Linked DNA regions of Oryzias latipes. The protein of the gene in region 2 interacts with the protein of the main gene of each other region in a biochemical or structural test. Links are inferred from orthologs where the notes say so. Each region holds a gene or a part of one and is shown on either strand. Other genes may lie near its edges.

Region 1 (7,967 bases), on a different chromosome or scaffold from region 2:
TGGAATAAAAGAAACATTTATAGGCAATATGACATGAATATTGTTCCATAATTGTGCGTTTAGCAATAGTTTTAATCCTGACATACAGAGATTTCTTCAGAATCTTTCAATTTGACCTCAGACTCAAATCCTCCGTGCTAAAATAAACATGTTTTTTTTGTGTGCTAAACTCTTGAAACGTTTTCATATGAGTCCTATTTGCCCTTCCTCACGTCCTGAAGGGGTTTCTGTGAACGGTCAGTTAATTGGCTCAAAGAAGGTCCTCAAAAACAAACTCAGGACCTACTTCGGCGTCATCTCGGTCTACTACCAGCCGCGAGGAGTCGGCGTGACGGTCAGCACGGACCTCATCACCCTGACCGACAACAGGAAGGAAAACTCCTTCACCTGGGGGTCCACGGCTGAGATCACACAGGACGGGTAGCTAAAGCTGCTTAGAAACAAAACGGAAACCACTTTCTTTGTTACAGCAAACCTTGTGTTGAATGGGTTTTTCTCTTTGTTTCAGGGTGAGAGTTTCCATTGTGAAGGACGCTCATGTGAACATCACCATCAACAATAATATCCAGGTGATGGTGCTGCTTCACCGCGTGTGGAAGAAACATCCCGTCAACGTCGACTTCCTGGGAATTTACATTCCCAACAATAACCAGTATTCCCCTCTGGTTCATGGACTCATAGGTAAGCAGGGAATCAAACCGACAGCACTGACACTATACAAGGTTAGCTGTGATTAATCGACTGTAAAGAAAGCATGTGGAAAAATGTTAGCAAGAGACGCTTGTGGCGACAGCACCAACATCGCCCTAGTGGTCGTTATTCCAAAGCGAAGCATTTAAAGTCTAAAGCTTTTAAAACCAGACAGTTGGACTTTTTGAACATTCATTTGAATTGAAAATGTATTTGAAACCAGCCTCTAGTGGTCATTTGAGGAACTGCAGGGCTCTGTCAGGTTAGCTTAAATTTCAGAAGTGAAATTTAGGGGCTAGCATGGTTGCCGCTAACAGGTTTTAGCATTAAAAAAGTCTTCCTTCATTCAGAGATTCTGACTAAAGTAGTAGAAATCTGAAGTATTACTTTTTGATCATGTCCTGCTCGCATAAAATGAAAAGAATGAAGAAACCGTGCAGATAAAGGTTTGTCTGATGTGACCTCACAGGGCAGTTTTCCAGAGAGCCTGAGGTTCACGTGTACAACGTCCACGAGGGACTCGACCCTCTGAAGAAGGAAGCTACCATGGAGGTGAAGGGCAGCAGGCTGCTCGTTACCAGGTACTGTCCCGCCCACAAGTCCGACCGAAAACACGAATGGGTTGTGAACTCGGTACGCTTTGCTCTCCTCAGGGGCTGGCAGAAGGACTACAGGCGCGACACGAAGAAGGGCGCCAACGTCTACTGCTGGTTTGTCCACAACAGCGGGAAGGGCTTCATCGACGGCCACTACACAGACTACATCGTACCCGGTCTGAACAGCTTCCTCCACATGAACCCAGACAATACCACGCAGTTCTGAACCTTCAAATAAGAAGAATGTTGTGAAAGAGGTGGGGGGGGGGGGGGGGGGGGGACAAGCAGATGTGACTTTTTTCCAAAGAAAAGTTCCACCAAAAAATCTATTTTTGCAAACTTTATTTAGACCAAATTCAAACCTGCAGACGTCAGGATCGACAAAATAAAAAAAACATGGAACTGCTGCTGTGAATATCCCTGACTTGTCCAGCATGTGGATTGAGGGATGGCTGTATGTACAGGTGTGTGTGTGTGTGGGGGGGGGTTAACTCTGACACAGTAGAGTCCCTCAGTCTAAACATCGAACGACGTTCACGAATGTTCAGGCCAGCTTGGAGAAATCCTCGTAGGCGACGGTCACCCTCTTCCCTTTCAGATGACCCTGGACGTGAAAAGAAAACAGGAAATCATTTTCAAAACGATCCGACGACTCTTCTGTATCTAACACAGAACAAGCCCACATCATTAACCCACCACCAACGTGCCAGACGACAGACACGAGTTCAACTGTCGGTTTTTATTTTTTATCAAACCAGCAACATGTCACAGTAAAAGTCCTCAAACTTTGGAATGAGGGGTATAAACTGGGGTTCTGATGTGAATGACACCCGGGTCGAAACACTCACGGCGTCGAGTGTGAGCGTGGCGCTGAAGTTTTTCTCGTCGATGCCCTCCAGCAGGGCCTCCGTGTCTCTGTACGGGCCGTTCAGGATCAAAACCCGTTTACCTGCGGACCGTTTGACACCTTTAGCATCCCTGACCTGCAGAACCTGGATGGAACGGCGGAAAGGGGGCTCACCCGGTGCAGGGATGACCGTTTCCAGGTGGTTCTGGTCCAGTTTCAGTTTGTCCCCGGAGTCGATCAGCTTCACCACAGCTCCGTATCGATCTCGCACCTCCTGTTCACAAAGGCGTACAGCCGTCAGCAACGAGAGGCCTCCGTGCCCGCCGTCGTTTCTCGTCATCACAGCACCGTTACCGTGACAACGGCCTTCTTCTTGTGGTATTTCTCTCCCAGTTTTTTGGTGATCACTTTCACGACAATGTCGGGCTGCAGCCAGTAGTCGGTTCTGGACGGCTGCTTCTTCTTCCTCTCCTCCATCTGAACAGAAACACGGTTCAGGACGGTCCGCTCTGACATTGGCAGGACAAACACAAACACAAAGGGTCCGAACCTCGATGATCTCCTCCAAGGCGGACTTCTTTTTCTTCTCGCTTTTGGAGTCTGAGCTGGACGGCGGGTCTTTCCTTTTCACAGATGGTGGCGCCGCGGCTGCTTTCAGAGCGCTGGGACCCAGGACGGAGCTGAGGCGCAAAAGAGCCCGTTAGAGCCGAAGGCCGAAGGAGACGCGACCGCGAAAGGGTAACGGAGACGGCCGTACCTCGGTTTGGAGGGGCCGGCCACACAAGCGGACGCTCCCAGGTTAAAGACCACTGCAGGAGCGGAGAACGCCGGATGAGAACAAAGTTAAGAGACCGGGGAAAAAAAAAAAAAAAGCCAAACCACTCCCACCTTTTTCTTCCTCGCTTTCACGCTTGAGCTCTGTGAAAACAGGAGTTTCCTAAAGAAGAAGAGGGACACGGCGTTCACCCCCACCGTCTGTACATTAAGACGCACAGAATCAGAATTTGCGTCCGGCTGGAACTCACCTCCGTCTCCTTGCCGTCGCGGCCTCTTCGGACCTGCTCCTCGATGAACTTGGCGCTCCTCTCCACATCGTCCATCTCTTGTTTCTTCTTCCTCGCCAGCTCCTCCTGCCGCCGGATGGTCTCTGGGTCACGGTCGATGTACTGGATGTACCAGCCTTTAGGCGTCTCGTCAACTTTGCACAAACCTGATAAACATTTTATGGAAATCTGAGTACGAAGATGCAGTCTGCAGGAAGATGGCCTCAAGGCTTTAATGGCAGATTTAGAGCAGAAGGTCCGGTCCAGATGCGTTTTCTGCATCTGAGGTCACTTCAGTCGCTTTTGAATTTAACCTTCTTTCAGATTTGCTGAGAATATATCCACATTTTTCAAAGACATTTCCAACTTTTATAAATATACGTGGTATAAATCTGGAGAAAAGAGGCGCAAAGCTGTGATCTAAAGGCAGTTTTTGGACTCACCTTCTCTGCCGAGCCACTTGGTGAAGTCCGTGAGCGTCTCCCACTGCGTGGAGTTCATGTGGACGTGCTCCCGGTAGCTGATGTACTCGTTATAGACGATGTTGTTGTGCACTCGTTTGGTCCCTAAAATGAAAAAAAAAAAAAAGATTAGAAACACATAATTAAAAATCTTTTAAGTGGATGTTCACTTTTTGGTTGATTTTTACAGTTGTTGCTTATTGTTTAGCCTTTTAGAAAGACGTGAAGAAACATAAGAAAATATTTAACTCAATCCCCTTTTGAGAAGTTTTTGTCTTTAAAAACGAGAAAAATCTTGTAAATTTGATCTTTAAATCAATAAAATGATGAGTAAGAGCAATAATGTCAAGACTTAGTTAGTTCTTAAATAGATTTGATATATCTGTGTATTTTTAATTCCTATTACTTTGTTTTTAGTGCTGAGAATTTCTTAAAATTTCCCAATCCATCAAAAACCATTGAAATACTGTTTAATAGTTTTCAGAATAGCCACATTTCTTTAAGAAATGTGTAAAGAACTACTTAGATTAGGGGCGCTGGGTGTTTAATATATTGTTCAAAGGCATAAAGACGTAAATAAAGTCATCGTCATAAAGGGAAACTGTGTTCTTAGGACTTAGTTTAAGTGCTTCTCTGAAGGGTATTTTTCTCACCAAATCGCCTCCTGAGCAGCTCCAGAAAGTCGCGTTTGAACTCACTGAAACAGACAGCAACAGACATGGTAAACATCTTTAAGGTGAGTGTTAAAGCTCCAGTTGGGATGGTTAGTAGAGGACTCACTCTGAGAAATAGTCCATGAACTTTGTGGGGTTTTCTGAGGCGAGCAGCAGCTGCCTCTGGTGGGACTCGGACATGCAGTGACACTTGAAGCCATTCTAGACCCCAAAACAGAACAAAATCACCGTTTAAACTCTCCAACAACAACCAAAGGTGTAAAATAAGATCATAATATAAAAATCTCACCTCGTCTCGACATTGTTTCTGACACATCTGACAATACCATCGCAGCTTCTGTAGACCTTTGGCTTTTATTCGGTTGCTGATCGATTTCGGGGTCAAAAACTCCGCTTTCCCCATTTTGATCTGTTAAAAAACACAATTAAACCTGTAAAAAATATCAAATCTGGGTATATTTTCCCGAATATTTTGAGATAAACCGAGGAAGCAAGCTAACCGTTTCCGCCGACAGACGTCACACTGTCGCAAAAGTACAAAATCCCGCGATAACAATTGATACCTTCATGGACTTCTCACGAGCTCCGGATTTTAAAAACTTCATACGCCAGAAGCAGTGTGATGAGTTTAAACAAGAAGAAAATCATTGTGCTTTTCTCAGTGATCTTATGAATGATATGGATTATTTAAAGCCTGTGTTTATTTAGCAATATTACAAAAAAGTTTTTGTTTACATAAAATTCTTTAAGGTTTTGATTTGCTTGTAGTTCAGTTATTTGTGTTAATATTTTCCTTTCTGTGCTAAACCTTAAATGCGCGATTTAAACATGCGTTTTGATTTGCTCTACCTGTTAAAATGATAAATAGGTAAAGACTCTGCTTAAGAGTATTTCTGTAAAAAAATAAAATATATAAAAATACATCAAATTTAATGGTTTTATATTAAGAAACGCGGGCTCATTTTTTCCAATCATTTTTATTTTAATGTCAATAAAAAAATTCACATGTGGACATATACAAAGAGCTTTTGATTTTGAAAACCAATGCAGGAAAAAGTTCCCAGTGGTCCTTGAAGTTATCATCCGACAAGCGTAGGCTTGCGCGTGCGCAGTTCTGGGTGTCTGACCTTCATCGCTGCAGCCATGTTCGCCCGGAGCAGCGCTTTGGTTTTCCTCCCACAATGGTAAACCCAAATACCATCAAACATCACATTTATTTTATTTTTATTGTCTTTTTAAATCAAACCTAAATTCTAAAGTGTTGTAGAAACGAAAATGTGGCTTATTGAATTCAGGATTTGCACATCAGTTGTACAAGGACGTGCTAAGAGAGGCAGGCCGCAGCTAATGAATGAAGCTAACTCAACCGGCTATGCTAATGACAGCGCTAACTTAATTTGCTGTAACTTTTGAAATGTAACACAAAGTCTATAAATAGATGCTGTATCTCTGTACATGTGTATTCCAACAGCAGATGCTTTTACAGTAGTTTTTTTCTGTTTGTTTTAGCCTTTTTGCGTTGCATTAGCGTTAGCTGCTAAGCTAATAAGGATACTACCTAGCAAATATCTTTAGGACGCCACAGTTCTTATATCATAAAATGCTACATGGTGTCTGCGAGAGGACAGAAAGTCCAGCTCTGCACTGAAATCTGTACATGAATGGAAGTGAATGAAACGCTAACGTGAACTGATTGTGTTCGCAGTGGGCAGGTCAGGAACATGGCCACCTTGAAGGACAGTAAGTGTTTATCCCCAAAGCTAAAATGCTCCATTTGGTTGTCTGTCTGCACGGTTTCATTGTTAAACAACTTTATGTCTTTACTTTTATTGTGAAAAATTACATATGTCAACATAACGGAGCATCTCTGAAGACTGTCATTCATTCGTGATGATTTCCTAACAAAATAAAAGCCTGGATTGTTAAGATGAACTCTTTCTGAGACTTATTTAGGTATAACTGAGCATCTCCAGGATGGTTTGATATAAAAATAAAAGCCTGTAATTTCCAGGTTACCCCTGAAGATTTAATTTAGTTATAACTGAGCTTTAGAAAGTAAAAACAAACAAACTGCGTAGTGAAAATTGTTATTGTTTCTTTTTTTTAGAGAAAAAAATAAATAAAACAAATGAACTAAATTAAACGATGTGACAGATGATTTCACTTAACCAATTATTAAAGTAAAGTGAATTCATTTCCTGAATTTGTAAAAAATAAATATGGATTTAATGTTATTTGTATTTTGCAAACCCATATCTGCTCGTTAACTAACTTGTCATGTTTTGCATCTGAAAGAACTTGAGAAGAAAAACTTAACTTGACGAATAAAGTTTTTACAAAGGCTTAATTGTGTTTCGTGTTTGATCATGTGACCGCTCTTCTCCTTTAGTCACCCTTCGGCTGAAGTCCATCAAGAACATCCAGAAGATCACAAAGTCCATGAAGATGGTGGCCGCTGCCAAATACGCCCGCGCTGAGAGGCAGCTGAAGCCGGCCCGCGTCTACGGCACCGGAGCTCTAGGTGTGTGTTGGCGGTGACGCCGCGGTTGCTGTGGCGGGCGCCGTGCTGAAAAACGTCTCTTCTTCTGCACGACAGCGCTGTACGAGAAGGCTGACATCAAGGCGCCCGAGGAGAAGACCTCCAAGCACCTGCTGGTCGGCGTGACTTCTGACCGTGGGCTCTGCGGCGCCATCCACTCCGGTGTGGCCAAGGTCATAAAGAGCGAGATCGCCAACCTGACCAGCGCCGGCAAGGAGGTGATGGTGGTCAACGTGGGAGACAAGCTGAGAGGCCTCCTGCACAGGTTTGAGAGGTTCTGACGGTTCTCTCAGGATTCAGACTCGCCTTGGCTTCATGATCCGTTGATCCGAGCAGAACCCACGGGAAGCACATCATCCTGAACTGTAAGGAGGTCGGCCGCATACCCCCCAGCTTCAACGACGCCTCCATCGTCGCCACCGAGCTGCTCAACTCCGGATACGAGTTCGACCAGGGCTCGGTCATCTTCAACAGATTCAGGTGTGGACCCCGCCCCTTTTATCTGGCGCATGCCACAAGTATTGCTTTGAATCCCGGACTAACTAACCCCCCCCCCCCCCCCCCCCCCCCCCCCGCAGGTCCGTCATCTCCTACAGGACGGACCAGAAGCCGCTGTTTTCCACGGACATCGTGGCCAACTCAGGTAGAAGAAACTCAACTTTGACCTTTCTCAGTCGGAGCCGCAGATCCCGAACGTGCCCCCCCCCTCTTCCACAGAGAGCATGGGGATCTATGATGACATCGACGCTGACGTGCTGAGGAACTACCAGGAGTTCGCTCTGGTCAACGTCATCTACCTGGCAATGAAGGAGTCTTCCACCAGCGAGCAGAGCGCCAGGATGACGGCCATGGACAACGCCAGCAAGAACGCCTGTGAGCCTCTTTCAGATCCGTTTTTTTTTTTAAATGTACTTCTTGTTGTGTTTATTTTTACTCACTGAGTTCATTTTATTGATCAAGTGTCGTTCTGTTTGAAAGCTGTCCGTGCACACGTGTTGGAGTGCACGTGCAGCTGCAGACAGACACTACTGAGCATGCTCGGGACGAGCATGTGTCATTCAAGGACTCGTACTTCATTAACATGTAGATGTTAAACGTGCTCTCGTGATCTATAATT
Region 2 (7,986 bases):
ACGTGCACCAACAAACCCACTAACGTGCACCAGAAACCCACTAACGTGTACCAGAAACCCACTAACGTGCACCAGAAACCAACTAACGTGCACCAAAAACCCACTAACGTGCACCAGAAACCCACTAACGTGCACCAGAAACCCACTCTCATGTACCAGAAACCCACTAATGTGCACCAGAAACCCACTCTCATGTACCAGAAACCCACTCTCATGTACCAGAAACCCACTCTCATGTACCAGAAACCCACTAATGTGCACCAGAAACCCACTCTCATGTACCAGAAACCCACTAATGTGCACCAGAAACCCACTCTCATGTACCAGAAACCCACTCTCATGTACCAGAAACCCACTCTCATGTACCAGAAACCCACTAATGTGCACCAGAAACCCACTCTCATGCACCAGAAACACCTTCAGCATGATGGCGGCTCCTCTCACCTCTCTTCTTCTCTGGACTCTGGAAACCACAGAGGCATTCCAAACACTTAAACCGCGCTTCACCCAGGCATCCATGCTCCCCCACCTGGACCCAGCCATCCAATGTATCGTAGAGGTGGACGCTTCTAGCGCAGGGCTCAGAGCCGTGCTTTCACATCGTCATGGTGAGCCAGCCAAGAGGTCCCAGTGGGCTTACTTTTCCAAGACACTTAAGACTGTGGAACGAAACTATGACGTGGGCGACCAGGAACTGCTGGCCATAAAGGAGGCATTCTCCTAATGGAAGCGTTGGCTAGAAGGGTCGGCTCAACCTTTCCTGGTTCTCAGCAACCACAAGAACCTGGAGTACATGAAGTCCACCAAGCGGCTGAACCACGGCCGGCACGTTGCTGTCTGTATTTCTCAGGCTTTCACTTTCAGATCACATATCGCCCTGGGTCCAAGAACGGAAAGAGGGATGCTCTGTCACGTTTATGCAACACCTCGGCTGAAGGATAAGTCGCACCAAAACCCGTCCTGCCCTCATCACTGATCCCAGCTCCTGCTCAGTGGGACATCACGACATAGTTGACAGAACACAATGCAGCTGACGCTCCACAGCCGTCCCGTCCGGCCGATAGGGTGTTTGCTCCCCCATCCCATCAGCAATGGGTCCTCCACTATGTGCACGACTTGGCTGCAACCAGACACCCAGGTACGGCCAGCACACAAGCACCAGCCTCAAACTCTTTCTGGGGGCCCACGCTGCAGTTTGGGTTGCCCAGTACATGACCCAATGTGCATCCTGCCAAATGGCTAAGTCGCTTCGACAGCGTCCGGCCGACCTCCAGCATCCGCTGCCCATACCACCACGGCCCTGGTCACACATCCTGGTGGATTTTATCATGGATCTACCCCGGTCGAGGGGTAACACCACCATCCTCTCTGTTATTGATGGTTTCTCTAAATCTTGCCGGCTGATCATAGCTACCCACAGCACTGGAAACGGCAGAAAGACTCATAGACCGGCACTATGGTCTGGGGGGTTGGCCTCAATATCTGGTGGATTGGGAGGGGTATGGCCCAGAGGAATGCTCCTGGTTGCACAAGACGACATCCTTGACCCCCTCCCCGATCAGTGACAGACCAGCGCCCCCACCTCAGAGGGCCCCTCGCTTCCGGAGCCTGCTTACAGGAGGGGGGCTTTGTCAGAAGTCAGAACTCTGTCTCCCCCTTCTGGTCACCAACGGGAACTGCAGCATACTGCATTGAGCCAGATTTTCTGGCTCCTGACCCTGATTCAGTTTCGTAGACTTTTAGCTGAGCTAATAATCCTGCTGCATTTGGATCCTGACGCCTGTAGTATTTGTCTGACTTTTTAAGAAAAATAATCAAGGAAAAAGTACTTCATTCCTTGAGACTCATGTGCATCTGTTCTGTCATGAAGTGGTCTTCTTTTGCTCAACTTGTCAGTTTCATTCATTCATCCTTTCATCCAGCCATCCATCTTTCGCTCATCCAGGACTTGGTCGTGGGGGCAGCAGTCTAAGTAAAGATGCCCAGACTTCTCTCGGCCTGGCCACTTCCTCCAGTCCCTCTAGGGGACCCAGAGGAGTTCTCAGGACACCTTGGAGAGATGTAGTCTCTCCAAGGTGTCCTGGGTCTTGCCTGGGGTCCCCGCCCAGTGGGACATGCTGGAACACCTCTGCAGGGAGGCATCCAGAGGGCATCCAGACCAGATGCCAGAGTCATTTCAACTGGTTCCCCTGGATGTGAAGGAGCAGCGGCTTTACATTAAAAGAATAATTTCAAATGTTTATATTTTGTGTTTGTCGATCTTTGTGTCAGTGGAGTCTATAGGAAATTGCTCTCCTCTATTATCTGCCTCCAGAGGTCTCCAACATTTGTTAAAGGTCCGGGTTAAATCTGAGTTGGAGTCTTACCAAGAGTCGTGGTGGTACCAACCATTGGTACCTGGCTGCCAAATGAACCAATTTCCATTTTCCCTCAGGACTTAATACATTTCCTCAGGCAGACACTAGAGGGCAGCGGTTTTCCTGTGAATGCATAAACAATGGGTCTGAACTGTCTTCTGTCCTTCCAGGTCCAAACTGCTTTGCTGGGAGCAGGGTGATCCCAGCGGGGGGGCCTGTGGACATCAATGAATACACTGTTTGCTACTGCACGTATAAGGACGACACATGGCACACCCACCCCCATGCTACCTGTGAAGAACGCCCCCAGCCCAGCCTTACACCCAGCACTAAGCCCCCCAGAGAGGAAGATAAAAAAGGCCGGAGGGGGAGGCCAACATTCCCCAGATGGGATTTAATTCCATGAAAATGTTTTAAACAATGAAAGTCTTTCTGTGGAACAAGAAATGAACCAGAATTCAACTCCAACCCTGACTAGAGTCAGACCATCAGCTGATAGAACTTTCTGGAACAATATTCACAACAACAAAAAATCAACATTTGTCTTCAAACTCTAAACCAGAACTTGATCACAACTGAGTTAAACTAAACTGGAACCTTCCTAAAACCCAACTTTAAATTAGCCAGAATTTATCTATAATTGACTGAATGTAATTTGAACTTAAAAAGAAATAAACAAAATCTTCAAAAATGAAACAAAAGCTGCACTAGAAATTGAATAGAAACGGATGTACAGAAGCTAAAACCGGATCAGATTTTCTCAATACTAAAGTGGAACCAAACCAAGTCTAACTCTAACCAGAACTAGAACCCCAGTTTAACCACGACTCAAAAAGGACTAACCTGGAACTTAAACCAGAACTGAACTAGAACTTCACTTGCATGGTCAATGCCTCTAAGCCAATCGGATTGCAGCAGGGTCACCAGGACAGTGGTATTCTTCGTTCTCCCGTAGAACAGGCTGAGACATCCAGAGACCCCTCCCCTGAAACAGTGTGTTTGTTTATTGTCCTTAAGTCAGATGACGTTCTGCTCGGCCATCTTCCTCGTGCAGCAAAGCCTCTGAAGAGATCAACGCCTGAAGCTTTAGCAGCTGAAGCTTTGGTCAATTATTGATGCCAATGGAAACAGTTGCTGCAGAGAACCATCTCTGAGTGAACATGTTGATATCTGAAGATGAAGAAGAACAGACGAACAAGAGTTTGATTTGCTAGAGGAAAATCTGACTCCTCATGACTCCATGACTCTCCTTCTGTTCCAGTCATTCGTGTCAGTGAAACAGTGCAGTGTGTTTGTGGGTTGTTGAACTTTTCAACAGAACTCTTCTTTTAGAAGTGTCAGCGGGTCTAAAGACTGTTCTGTGGACGGTTTCAGTGTCTGGATGCTACAATAAAGACTTTGTTTGGTGTGAAAGTCTTCCACTTCATTTGGAGCCTCTATTTTTGTCTTCCAACATGAATCCTCCCAGTAATGTGCACGTGTCTGTTCTTAAACTCTGCTCACATTACTGCATTGCTTGACGCGACGCCATCTTGGTGAGGTCGATGGCGCCCTCATGACAATGATCTCACATTCACATGTACTTTACTCTGGAACTCCTCGTGGCATATACAGGCCGACAGCACCATCTATTGGTGGCGGTGGTTATTACTGCTGTCTGTCACAACATAACACACAGCACAGCTGTCATGGCCGCCCCCCACTTCCACGGTGAGTTCAGTCCTTAGATGATCTCTGTTTCCTCAGCGCTCGTCAGCACCGCGTCTGCGCTCCTCTTCCTCAGAAAACACATCATACTTCAAATATCAAACGTATTGCCATCCGGATTTGACCAGTTAAACCTCCCAGAGTTCTGAATTCAAGCCTTGGGAAGCAAGTTCTTCTTTAGCACCAGCCTGCGTGTGACCCCCCCACGCTGTGTTGCTTACGTCATCTGTCTGTGATCGGCGCGCAGACGGACCCACGTCACCGGAGACCAGCGTCTCTGCTGCGTCTGGGTCCTGACTGGTTCTGCAGGATTCGGACCTTCGGTTCTTGGACGTATGTGTAGAGCGGCCGGTCTGCTAAGGACCTGGAGGCAGCTCCAGGACCGGGACTGATGGTTGTGGTTGTTGCCCTCAGGGTCGTAGCCGCTCTCCATGGATCACGTGACCTTTGAGTCCGACATGGTCCTGTCAGACGTGCACATGCACCTGCCCAGCGCCGGGAGCCTCATGCCGGGTCTGGACTCTGCAGGTGAGTTTCATGGTCCTGCTTCCTTCCTGCTGTGTTAAAGCTGCCTGTCTGGATTCAAACCGCACACCTGTTCTCCTCAGTTTGCTCGTCTTCTGATCTGTATTCACAGCTTTCCCGGGGGTCTGTTCATTCTGATGATGATGATGATGATGATGATGATGTCGTTTTCTGGGACATAGTTTCTGCAGAGCAGCAGGAGTTCATTAGAAATTCACCTCTAATTGTGGGGGTGCGTGGTGGGGGGGGTGGGGTGGTGGTCTGGCTTGGCTTGGGGGGGTGGTCCCTTTGCCTGTGCTGGGGGGGGTTGGCGGGGGGCCCTGCTCGGGTGGGGGGGCCCAGCGGCGCCGGATGGGCTGCCCATCTGCACCTGGGGCTGGGATCGGCCCTTCCCTGGCTCTGGGACGGGACGGGACAACCCTCTCGGGGCCCCCGGTCGCTCTGGGTGTCACCCGCTTCGGCTGCGGGGTCTGGGGTGGGGTGGGGGGCTTGTCGGCCCTGTCCTGTGGGGGGGCGTTCTGGGGGGGAGGGGGGGCCCATTATTAGTACGGGTCGGGGGGGCTAGCGGGTCGGGGTCTCCGCTGAGGCAATCAGTGGTTGCCTCGGCCGGTTGGCCTCCTCGGTCCCGTCGAGGCCTGACCAGAGCTCTTCTAGGGCCGGCGTCTGGGGGTGGGGGCCTGGGCTTGCTCCGGGGGGGGGGCGACGCCTTCTGGCTCCTCTCTCTCTGTGTGGGGTGGGTGGTGCCGGGCCTGGGGTGTCGGCGCCTCCGGTGGTGGGCCCCTGGGCTGGGTGGCCCTGGCCCCTTTGCTGGGGGTGGGCTGGGGGACGGCTGTTTGACCACCGGGGGACAGTCTACCAGCTGTCCCCAACTTACCCCCTTCCTTATATAACCTCATATTAGGGTGAGGGGGTGGGGGGTCTAGCCTGCGATGCGCCTTGGGGGGGGGCTACTTGGGAGTGGCCCCCCTCCTATGGTTGCCGTATGGAGTGGGCCCCCCCTCTTTCGGTTTTATTTGCACCTTAGACATGTAGGGTCCTTGGTAGGGGGGGTGCTTGGACATCACTGCAAGCAAGCAGCAGATGTCCTCCTGGCACCCTACCCGCCAATTTTAACCGCACCTTAGACATTTAGGGTCCCTAGGTGGGGAGGGTGAGGGGACATCACTGTGAGTAATCAGGAGACGTCCCCTTAGTGCCCTACTCGCCAATTTTAACTGCACCCCCCTTAGTACACACACCCCTCCCCCTTCAATATATACATTCAAACATAAACACACACACATGCACACAAACACCCTCTCAAACACCCATACACGCACACACATTTTACAAGGAAGGTGGGACCTGGGTCCATCTGTCCCCTACCCCTTCCCTGGTGGGGGGTGCGGGCCCCTTGGCGATGGCGGCCGTGTCCCTTGGGTGCCGGCTCCCTGGGCCCGGCGGTGCTCTCTCCGCACGGTGGGGGGGTTCATATTACACCTGAGCCGGGGGTGTTCGTGTCCCTGGGGGGTGGGTCCTGGTCCTTGCCCCTGGGCGCTGGGCCCCGCCAAACTTCCAACATGGCCGAGCCTGGTCGGGCCATATTTATAACATCCCTTGTGGGCCGCCCTTTTTTCCCGGGGTTCCCCCCTCCTGGGCGGGGGCGGCGGGCCCCTGCCTTGCTCCTGCCTGGACCAACCGTGGGCCGGGTGGGTGGCTGCCTGGAGTGCGGAGCGGGTCTCCCTTGGGGGGTCCTGGCTCGTACCTGGGGTCGGGGCGGGGGGATGCCCGGAACTCCTGGGTGGTGGTGGGGTGCTCGTCTGGGGCTGTGGGCGTCCCTCTCCGGTGGGGCCCTGCGTTGGGCTCTTCCGGCGCGGCGGGGGGCTGCTTTCCTGGCTGGGCTGGGGCGGCGCTCTCTTTCCCTCTGCGCCTCCCTGCTCTCTGGCTCTGGGGGCCTCGCGGCGGTCCTGCTGGCCCTGGCCTGGGTGGCGGTCTTGGTCGCCCGGGGGGCGGTTGTTCCCTGCCTGTTCCCGTGTGGCGTTGGGGGAATTCCGGCTGCCGCTGCTGCTGCGGCGGGGGTATGGGTGTGGGGGTGGCTGGGCGCTCCTCCTCCTTCTTTTCACATTCCACCATCCATTTTAGAAGAACATAAACACTCACCTGAGCACAGGTGTTGGCTCACCTTTGCACTAATAGTTTGCATGATTGAATGAATGAAAGATTTCACACTAGTTGGTTTAAAGGCATAGGTATGCGTTCGTGAACACTATCTGTTTTGTGTGCATGTTGACATGTGGACATTTTTGCGGCTAGCAGGTGTGTTGATAATATTTGAGTGTGTGCGAACAGGCCCCGCCCTTTTTGTACTACATTTGAACCTTACCGTAACGATAAACAACCAGTAAACCTGTCTGCTCTATGCTGCTTCATGGTCTTACCCCCCTTCCCCTCCTATTATCACCCTCCTACCCCCCCCTCTCTCTAACGTCCCTCTCTCTTCTTCCCCTCTTTCCTTTTCCGTCCGGTCCAACACCAAAGATTTTCAAACATGATTGAAATTAATAAATTTTGGCCTCAATTACAAAAGGGGTTTATTCAGACATACCTTTGGTTTGTCTGAAGATGAATAACCCCTCTTGTTAAGATAAAATATGTCCAACACAAGAGGCCCTCAGCTCTCATCTGTTTGCCTAGCTGTTGGACAGGACAAGTTAAAAAAAAAAAAAAAAAAAAAGAAATTCACCTCTAAGTTGTGGGCGGGACTTGTGGCACAGAGCAAACCCATCCCCCTTCCTGTCACTTATGTCTTTGTTCCCCCTCTCTCCAGCTAGCTTACAGCCCCTCACACCCCCCCATCCTAACATTAGCGTAGCAACAGAAACAGCAGCAGCATCAGATCCATCCATCCGTCCGGTTCTGATCCAGATTCCAGCTCAGACCAGGAAAACACAGACGTTCATGGATCTGTTGGTCAGCAGGTGGATGATCAGAAAGGGGCGGAGCTTTGAGACTTTCGTCCCGCCCAGTTCAGTCGCCGCATCACAACTGAGAGCTTTTTCGAACGCGGCTTTTAACGACTCCTGATTCACAATTTGAATAAATTCTTGTTAAAATGTCGTCCATCATGTTAAAAAACAGCAAAACAGCTTTTTCATCTCCACATGAAATCAAATGAAAGCAGCTCAGCCGACAGGCAGACATCTCAGATCTGATGATGAGGCAGTCCTAACCCAAACAGAGACTCAGTGTTTACGCCCTGCTCAGTCAGCTGACGTCTCTTCTCGGACCGTTTCATGTCCTCATCATATTTCAGCTGAATTTCTGCTGGTCTGTCAGTCTTCATGTCCAGATTCAGGATCCTGCTAGAAAACCACGACAGCGGTGATCTCAGGAAAACCGTGGAAGAAGAGGAAGAGCG

The links.
Region 1: of the proteins of mettl22 (region 2) and kin, one has a biochemical effect on the other in vitro, tested with the Homo sapiens proteins (2 studies listed by BioGRID). The link is inferred for Oryzias latipes from reciprocal best matches to the Homo sapiens genes METTL22 and KIN.

The regions. Positions count from the first base shown.
Region 1 is NC_019881.2:22,190,787-22,198,753, reverse strand, and holds kin (DNA/RNA-binding protein KIN17), read right to left. Parts: upstream 4,871-7,967; 5' UTR 4,812-4,870; intron 4,721-4,811; 5' UTR 4,715-4,720; coding exon 4,601-4,714; intron 4,513-4,600; coding exon 4,418-4,512; intron 4,335-4,417; coding exon 4,291-4,334; intron 3,743-4,290; coding exon 3,620-3,742; intron 3,344-3,619; coding exon 3,159-3,343; intron 3,071-3,158; coding exon 3,022-3,070; intron 2,943-3,021; coding exon 2,891-2,942; intron 2,814-2,890; coding exon 2,684-2,813; intron 2,611-2,683; coding exon 2,488-2,610; intron 2,408-2,487; coding exon 2,308-2,407; intron 2,236-2,307; coding exon 2,135-2,235; intron 1,891-2,134; coding exon 1,831-1,890; 3' UTR 1,612-1,830; downstream 1-1,611. Other genes in the region: itih2 (inter-alpha-trypsin inhibitor heavy chain H2), read left to right, coding at 222-420, 509-681, 1,160-1,271, 1,344-1,512; atp5f1c (ATP synthase subunit gamma, mitochondrial), read left to right, coding at 5,455-5,495, 6,017-6,051, 6,701-6,832, 6,908-7,115, 7,187-7,330, 7,429-7,493, 7,568-7,723. UniProt on the Homo sapiens protein: Involved in DNA replication and the cellular response to DNA damage. May participate in DNA replication factories and create a bridge between DNA replication and repair mediated by high molecular weight complexes.
Region 2 is NC_019866.2:25,830,082-25,838,067, forward strand, and holds the start of mettl22 (methyltransferase-like protein 22), read left to right. Parts: upstream 1-4,007; 5' UTR 4,008-4,067; exon of another isoform or gene 4,068-4,397; intron 4,398-4,478; 5' UTR 4,479-4,495; coding exon 4,496-4,592; intron 4,593-7,904; coding exon 7,905-7,986. UniProt on the Homo sapiens protein: Protein N-lysine methyltransferase. Trimethylates KIN at Lys-135 (in vitro).